Linked DNA regions of Daphnia pulex. The protein of the gene in region 1 purifies or fractionates together with the protein of each later gene. This does not show direct contact. Links are inferred from orthologs where the notes say so. Each region holds a gene or a part of one and is shown in the gene's direction. Other genes may lie near its edges.

Region 1 (4,279 bases):
TTGATGAAATTTCTTTATCTCGCTCTACATCATCATTATCACCCCCCTTGTATCGTTATACTGAGTTGCGAACAATGCTGGAATAACCGTAAATATTTTCGTTTTGGGTTTAATCTGTTATAAAAACAAATTCTCGTTTATTCCATATTGCAAGTCCACCCTATTAATTAATTAGTTTAGTTATTATTACTGTCAGTTAATTCAGCATGATGAAATTATGGGGGAGCAGTGCAAGACTAATCGAATTGCCAGGTAGACAGAAGCAGCAGCGAGTGTTGGTTGTTTTGTTTTGTGTGGGATGTGACTGATGTCACGATGTCGGAACAGAAATGACGTCAGAAGACGAAATGTGCGTCCACTGCCAAGACATTCCAAAGGAATTTTTCGACAAGATCGATGACGAGCGGAAGCTGGAACGTGCCAATTTTCGAATCGGAAAAGAGGCTAATTAATAATCGTTGAGTTTACGTCGAATGTGAAACCTCGTCGACTTCTCCAAACGGAACAGGAGGTGAGCTTTCTCTTAATATGCTGAAATAGAACGAGGAAATGTCAAACTGGCGCATTAAAAGTGAAGTATTGCCCTTGGCATGCTATGCATGGCAGAGATTTGTTTACACCAACTGTTGTAAAGTTGACACGCGTTTTGGAGATGTTTCAGTTTCCAAATTTTTGTAGTTTGTCAGACCAGAAAATATCCAGACGACTCGAAAGATGGATGCAGTGTACAATTTGATGGATTAATTACTTCTTGTAGGGTAGCATCACAATATTCTAATTTAACAATGGTCAACTAAAACATTTCAATCATCAATTAGCAGTTGACAATTTTGCTGAAAAGCATGCAAAATTATGTGTCTGGGAATGCGGACATCATCGATTTTCCAAAATTACCCCAGCTAACTTTCGGAGACCTACAAAACTTTATAAACTGATCGATATTAACATAGCTGCTGATGTTCGCTCATTTGGAAAGGACGGTTTGCGTAGGTTTCTCCTATCAAGTTATATTTATTCATGGTCCTGTATCAATATTTCTTCTCAAGCTAGCCTATAGGAACTGGGTTTTTCGGAACAACTATATCTACATTACACACAACCTTCAACTATTGTTGGTTTTTCTCCTAACGGATTTGTGTGTAGATAAGTGGTAGCATGTGTTTTGAAGGTCACATTTAATGCCTCGTTGTTTGTTGTGGCCTCTTCAAAGGAAAAAAGAATCATAACAATGCTATTTCCTGAATTTGGGCAGTCAGCCTACTGCCGAATGATTTCATTTCACTACTTTTTCACTTAAATCAAAACCTTATTGTCAGTATGTTTTTTGGAATTTTACCATCTTGTTTTTTTTACTAGAGACACTGTGGAGAAGTTTAACTGTAAAATTAGTTTTCTGAAATAGATTTGTTTGTTTAATCATTGATTATTTCTTCCACGTGGTGGCGTCAGAGTCGTATCGTAAATATCGTCTGCATCACGAGAAATATCGGGCTGTTTTATTGAAGGTACAAGATATCTCGGATTTGGTCATAGTATTAAATTACGAGCTCGTTTCAAGCTATGTCGTAAAGACGACCGTCTATCAGGGCTACTTTCATATCTTCGTAGTTCTCAGTCCCCTCAGATCTCACAGAATAGCCTACGTTGTTATTAAAATGTAAGATTTTTTTCCGGCATTTGCCAGAAAACGTTTGGTTTATCTTGATTTAATCTGGTCTCTTTGATTCGCCACTGCAGTTTACATGTATCGACTAGCTGGATCTAAATCACTCTTATTTTTTGTTCACAGTAGTAGAAATGACTAGCAATACACAGCCATCCCAGAAACTGAGAAGGAATGGATCGCCCAGCACAAACAAATCAAGTGGTCCACTCAGAGCAACAATTCCAGTCAGTCTGATGAGTCAAAGTGTGATCCTTGATGTGCCAGAAGACCCACATCTCACCCACTCATCTCAGAGTGCATGGAGCAAAATTAATTTGCCCCACACTGCTGTTAGCCCCGCTAACACCTTGCAGTGTGGAATACCTAAACAAACACCTTGGAGAATGAGACAATGGTCCCCTACTCCAATCAAAGGTTTGCTATTTTCTTCTACAATACAAGCTTCTACTTCTTCTTCATGCACTAACATCCTCAATTCATTGATTTCAGTGGAGAACCCTGAGCCCACGCAAAAGATTGATGATTACCCATCCATGAGAAGAACTGCTTCCCTCGATGCCATTTATCTGAAAGGCCAGTGGCCCAGAGGAACAGCAGATTACGAGTCAAATCTTCTGCTTGACAAAGCCACACAAACTCCAGAGGAATGGATGGCTGATTTGAAGAGGTAATGAGCTGTTTAAGACATTGATTCTACTTTGTCCTAACCATTAAAGCCAAAAATCATTCATTCTCGTTTTGAAGGTTCTCTTGCCGAGGTGTAGAGTCTTCCCCTAGTCGTGATAGGAAGCAAAAGCAGCGCTTTTTTCTGGGCCATCAGGGTCTGAATCCACCACTAATTCAGCAGTATTCTTCGGGTTCCATCTCCCCCAACCGTGTGGCAGTCTCGACCAACACGGAGCAACATCCGGCTCTACCGCTATTCGGCTCGTCCAGTGATAATAAAAAGTCTCGAGCCATCCCAGTGCCCCCGCCGCCCACGACGCAGAGCTCCAGGGCCAGAAACTCGGTGGAAGGTTTCAACACCGAGATCGAGAAGTTGGTCTGCAGAGGCAACGGGGAGACGACATCCAACAAGGTCAGGACAAAGTTGAAAAGTCAATTCAACAAATGAACTTTTCTAATTGTTTTTTGTCTGGTTTGTAGGTGATGGAACCGACGCCGGATGGGCATCGAGCTCCGATTGCCGAACTGTTTAAGCGCAACAATTCTTGCCGCAGTGTCGACACACAAACGCCTGTCAAAGCGTACTCTACGAATTCTTCGTCAGGTGGATATCGAGTAGACAAGAGTACCAGACGTTTTGGGTATGATAATGGGGTGCCTTTTCTCTCATTCAGGGACTTCCTCGCCATGTGGATCCGTCTCTCCATCCGTTTGGGTGTTCGATCATCATCATTCTTCGTCTCGACCGCCCAGCGATGGATGTACAGCCGAAGAAATTGGTATGCGTAATCACTTTTTGGGTTGTTTTGTTGTTGTTCTTCCTCCTCCGGTTGTTTTTGGTTGTTGTTCTTTTCTTTGCAAGTATTTATAGACTTTTTCAGCTGGTGACAGCTTGCGTAGACGCACACGAGTACAGTCGACATTTCCGTTTGGTGTATGTATATATCTAGGCGACTATAATTCCTTATCGCCGGAAGATTTCCAAGCATTGTCACTTGGAACTTCGCCAAGGAACCGCTTCCTGTGCCGAGAACCGCCCGACGGCTGTGAGAAAGTCGAAACGCTCAAAATCGTCGAGCATACCGTCAAGTATATATACTTTCCTCCGTCGGCCGATTGATGTGGGTGTGTCACTAACGATTACCTTTTGCCATCCATTAGAAACGGACAGGACGCCGCGACGCTCTACTGTCCGCCAAAGCCCAGCTCCCAGTTTGTGCTGCAGCCGTCCAGCAGCTCTGCCTTTTGTTCGCTGAACAAATTCAACTCTTCATCCTTCTCGTCGGCCATGAAGAGCAGCAGCAGTTCGCATTTGTTTGGCGGAAGCGGCGGCGGAGGCCTTATTCACGGATCGAATCTCGGTGAATGTAGCGACCGTTCCAGCAGCGTTCCTCCGCAATGGCCCATTCAACAACAACAGATATCCTCCTCCTCCGCAGCCGTACAAATGATTCCCGCCACTCCCTCAGGACAGCCCATTTGATTCTTTCTCTGAAAATAGTTGCCGAGTTTTTTATTTTGGTGAGAGAGAGAAAAAGGGGAAGAAAAAAAGGACGGCCCGGAGAACTTTTAGGTTTTTTTTTTGTCGGCCTATAGTTATTTCTATTGTTGGAATCCCATCCAGCAGCATTTCGGGACTATGTTCCTCTGGTTATACAAGTTGAACTTTGCTGAAAAAAAAAAAGAAAAAATTTTCTTTCATTTCTTTTTCATGCAAAGTATTTCCCAGCCCTTTTTTTTTTCCAAAAAACAAAATTATTTTGTTGACGCCTAAAATGTTTCTTCTTTGATCAACCCAGGCTTTTTTTTTGTATTTTCAAGTGTAATTTTTTTATTTTGTTTTCTTTTGGTTGAGAGGTTATCTGAGGAAAGCCTTTTTGAAACACGAGACACACAGCACTGGAATTTGGTAAAACAAACAACAAATAATCCTTTTAAATTCGGGAC
Region 2 (4,242 bases), on another chromosome or scaffold:
GGCAGAGTACAAGGCGCAGTTAGATGGTTGTGGATTTACCAGATATAGAAAGTTTTAAATGCACAGAAAGAAGCTGAACAGTTCATTCATGGAAATCAAATTCAAAAGGGAGTCAGAGCCTCCAATTCTCAATATAGAAAATCTCTATTTTCAATTGAGTAATATTCCTGCCATTCCTAGTATTAAAGGCATTTGTGTTCAAAATTTATCGTCAGTTTCTTTTGGATACCATACTATCCAACAAGATGAAGATGGCTTCATATACCCATCGCTCAATCAATCTACAAATCCATACTTTGATTTTCCTACGGCGCTATCTCCAAGAAGAATTATTTTTACCGCCAAATCATTTGATTTACCAGTGGCTTCATAATCTATACCAATGTTGCTATCACACATGATTTCCATCGCGAATACAAATTGTTAATCCAAACCAACGATTTTGAAAAAACTTTTCCTGTGTTTACTTTCCACATTGCCATAGCAACATGTCCTTTAACAATAGCGCCAAACCGTTTTCCGTGTAAAAGAAGGAAATGTCTTGCGGCTGTGCGCGTCATTCCGATCATTCATTAACAATAATTATTTTTTTCCTGGAGCTAGCATTTGCTACATTGCAGACGTTTTTTAAAATATAAATTGATTAAATGAAAAGACGAGCGATTGGGGTCGTTACTGTAGTAGTAGGCCTTGTCGAGTGGCAAAATAATTCAACTGCGATTTCCATACATTTAATCCCACTAGATTGAGGGAGTTTTTTTTTTATGTATTATACTATGAGAAGTCTCATGTATGTGTACTAAATAATATGATACATTGGGACTGAGAGACAAGTTTACACATTTTCTTTCACATTTGCAACACCAACTCCAACCATAAGGCCAACAACTGTAAATCCTTGTGCTGCAATCCTGAGCCTCATCATTTTTTGTGACATTTGGGGTCTCCTAATGAATCAATTCAAACAATTACAGATTTAAAAAAAATATATTATGGTCAATAACCACACAACAATCAATTTGTAAAGTTATACCCATGACGAAAGGACCACAGGCCATATGTCAATGCAGCTGCAGTTGCTAGACACCCAATAGGAACAAAAGGATTTTCAGAAAATTTTCTGTTGAATTTTTCTTTGAATGTCTCCTGGTTCTTCAAACTTTCTGATCCAATTTCCTCTCTTAACTGAATCCAGTTTAATTCTTCAGCATTTAAAGACTCAATTTCATTGTTTATTTTGCTTGATGTTTCCATTTCTCTGTACACAATCAAAGAGGAATTGTTAATAGTGTAATATAAATTGTTGAAGCAATGTACACATAACTGATCATGAATGCCAAAATATTTTAGATTTCTAAATATTTTGATAATTCACCAATTCGGTCATGAGAAGTCGATTGTGTTTATTAAATTAAAAAGGAATAATAACATACGGAGTATGATGTTTCGTTCGTTCTATAGTATCGCAATTACTTTAAATCTAAAAGTATTAAGACCGAGACTGAAAAGTTGTCAAGAAATTCCGAGTTATTACATAACAATATTCACAAATTGTAGTTGCGACGTTACTACTTGAAGGTTGAACGGTTGAACGTTGAAGCACTGCAGCGATCGGTAGCAGACAATATTTAGCGGTGGTGGCGCTCTTCTTCAAAATATCGTATCTATTTTGCCTGTATTTGATTTTGACTCTGACTTTCGTTTCAGACTTCTACCGCTTGGTGTACAGCTTCAGTGTGAGAAAATTTAATGGTTGTCTTGTCTGGCCTAAGTTAATAGATAGGTTTATTTGTTTGCGTGGGTCCACTGTCATTCCGGTTAAAATTGCCAACATAAGAAATTCTAACACTTCTGCATATTTGATCACGATTCCCGGGAATTGTGTCGTTTTCTAAAAAATGGCGGGGCTAAATGTTGCTCCCAAACGAAAGGAAATTTACAAGTACGAAGCACCATGGACTCTTTACAGTATGAATTGGTCAGTGCGTCCAGATAAGAGATTCAGGTGAGGGAGGAAGTTTAAAATTATGTATTTTATGTTTAAGAAATGTAATATTCAACTTGACTAACCTCAAATTCCTTTACAAATTAGATTGGCTATTGGAAGTTTTGTAGAAGAATACAACAACAAAGTTCAAGTAATTTCATTAGATGAAGATTCAGCAGAATTCAGTGCCAAAAGTACTTTTGATCATCCATATCCTACTACAAAAATTATGTGGATTCCTGATGCGGTATGGAACTATCCTGTTTCAAATATGGTTAAAGAAATGTTAATAATTAAGTGTGTTATCAGAAAGGTGTTTTTCCTGATTTACTGGCTACAAGTGGGGACTATCTACGCATATGGAAAGCAGGAGAACCAGACACAAGATTAGAATGCCTCCTTAACAATGTAATTTTTACATGAATTATTATTATTTACAAGAAATTTAATTCATTGAAAACAATTTCTAGAACAAAAACTCAGACTTCTGTGCTCCTCTTACAAGTTTTGATTGGAATGAAGTTGAACCTAACCTTATTGGAACATCTAGTATTGACACCACATGTACCATATGGGGTTTGGAAACTGGACAGGTAAAGCAATATCTTTAAAACTTCTTTAAATCTTATTATTCTATAACAAACTATTTATCTTAAAGGTTGTTGGTCGAGTTGGTGGCCCTGGTGTAGCAGGACACGTAAAAACTCAGTTAATCGCACATGATAAAGAGGTCTATGATATCGCATTCAGCCGGGCAGGAGGCGGGCGAGATATGTTTGCATCTGTTGGCGCTGATGGCTCCGTGAGAATGTTTGACCTTAGACACCTAGAACATTCAACAATCATATATGAAGATCCTCAGCATCGTCCTCTGTTAAGACTAGCATGGAATAGACAGGACCCTTCTTATTTAGCAACGATATCCATGGATGCTTGTGAAGTATTTTCGGTTTTTCACCTCATTTCAAATAGAGAACACGTTACAAATTTCTTTGTTACAAATGTTAGGTGGTAATACTCGATGTAAGAGTGCCGTGTACTCCCGTCGCTCGTTTGAGTAATCACAGGGCATGTGTAAATGGCATCGCTTGGGCCCCACATTCTTCCTGTCATATTTGCACAGCTGGTAAATATTTTTTATTTGTAACTAGAATTGTGCAAGTACCGTGTGCACGATGTATGCTGCCAATTGCTGTATATAATTGATCCGATTTGATCTGGTTTGTAATAATTTAGGTGATGACCATCAAGCCTTGATATGGGATATCCAGCAAATGCCGCGAGCCATTGAAGATCCCATACTTGCTTACACAGCGGCTGAAGGTGAAATCAACCAAATCCAGTGGGGAGCAACACAACCTGATTGGATTGCCATTTGCTACAATCGATCCCTTGAAATTTTACGAGTTTAATGCTTTAATACCTATATATATCAAAACTGAGTATGACTAATGTCTGAAAACTTCTCATCAGGTTATCTTAGATCGTGTTTTTTTAATAATTCGTATCCTCTCGTGAATCGGATCGTTGATTTGTAATTAAAATAAGGAAAATATCATAAGAATGTGACATTTGAGATTTTGAATTTGTCTGTACTACTAAGCAAAAACTTGGAAAAGAATGACTGAATTTGAATCAACAACATTGTTTTATTAGCTTTCTATCACAGCACTCGGATTCTGTATAAGATCAGCAGGTATTAACATCATATATATTTTTATGTTTCTCTTTAAAATTCAATTTGAGACTGCTAAGTGGTTGGTTTGATTACTTGAAATGCTTTTGTAAGCTGTTGGATTCGAAAGTTGCATAGTTTCTCGTAGCCGCTCGTTAAGTAGTTGGTATCTCTCGCGAATCTGCATTTCGTGATTTTTCTCTTCACGTTCCAAAACCTTAAGGAAACTTGATAGTTCAGCCACTGTAAATTCCTCCCACTGAAATATAGAAAGAAGAAAAAATGGGTGCGCTTATAGTTTAGCGATGGAATATGTCGAAAATTAGAGCCCCGCAATGGTATTTTACCGGAATGTCTCCATTTTGGCTTTCTTGAAGGATTAGAGTTTTGGCACAGCTAGAGGCATCGAGATTGGTATCATCGGCCTGCCAATGTTGGGCAAGTAGAAGCGGACAATCGAAATCATTCAAGCGACGAAGTCGAGCTAAATAATAGCAAATACAACATGATTTGGTATTCTGGAATTTAGTACGATCGAGTCCGACTCGTTTGAGAGAGGGAAGGTAAAAAGTATGACGAA

Evidence for each region.
Region 2: the proteins of protein FAM117B-like (region 1) and DDB1- and CUL4-associated factor 7 purify together in Homo sapiens (affinity purification with mass spectrometry; 3 studies listed by BioGRID and IntAct, with this or other methods). This does not show direct contact. The link is inferred for Daphnia pulex from reciprocal best matches to the Homo sapiens genes FAM117B and DCAF7.

What each region holds. Positions count from the first base shown.
Region 1 is NC_060019.1:1,555,022-1,559,300, forward strand, and holds the start of protein FAM117B-like, read left to right. Parts: upstream 1-1,433; 5' UTR 1,434-1,505; exon of another isoform or gene 1,506-1,657; intron 1,658-1,789; 5' UTR 1,790-1,797; coding exon 1,798-2,080; intron 2,081-2,155; coding exon 2,156-2,333; intron 2,334-2,410; coding exon 2,411-2,744; intron 2,745-2,812; coding exon 2,813-2,936; intron 2,937-3,006; coding exon 3,007-3,111; intron 3,112-3,282; coding exon 3,283-3,421; intron 3,422-3,493; coding exon 3,494-3,815; 3' UTR 3,816-4,279.
Region 2 is NC_060025.1:4,763,466-4,767,707, forward strand, and holds DDB1- and CUL4-associated factor 7, read left to right. Parts: upstream 1-1,698; 5' UTR 1,699-1,898; coding exon 1,899-2,005; intron 2,006-2,092; coding exon 2,093-2,234; intron 2,235-2,296; coding exon 2,297-2,395; intron 2,396-2,457; coding exon 2,458-2,580; intron 2,581-2,645; coding exon 2,646-2,927; intron 2,928-2,995; coding exon 2,996-3,113; intron 3,114-3,223; coding exon 3,224-3,399; 3' UTR 3,400-3,626; downstream 3,627-4,242. Other genes in the region: uncharacterized protein LOC124202359, read right to left, coding at 3,724-3,921, 4,010-4,146. UniProt on the Homo sapiens protein: Involved in craniofacial development. Acts upstream of the EDN1 pathway and is required for formation of the upper jaw equivalent, the palatoquadrate. The activity required for EDN1 pathway function differs between the first and second arches.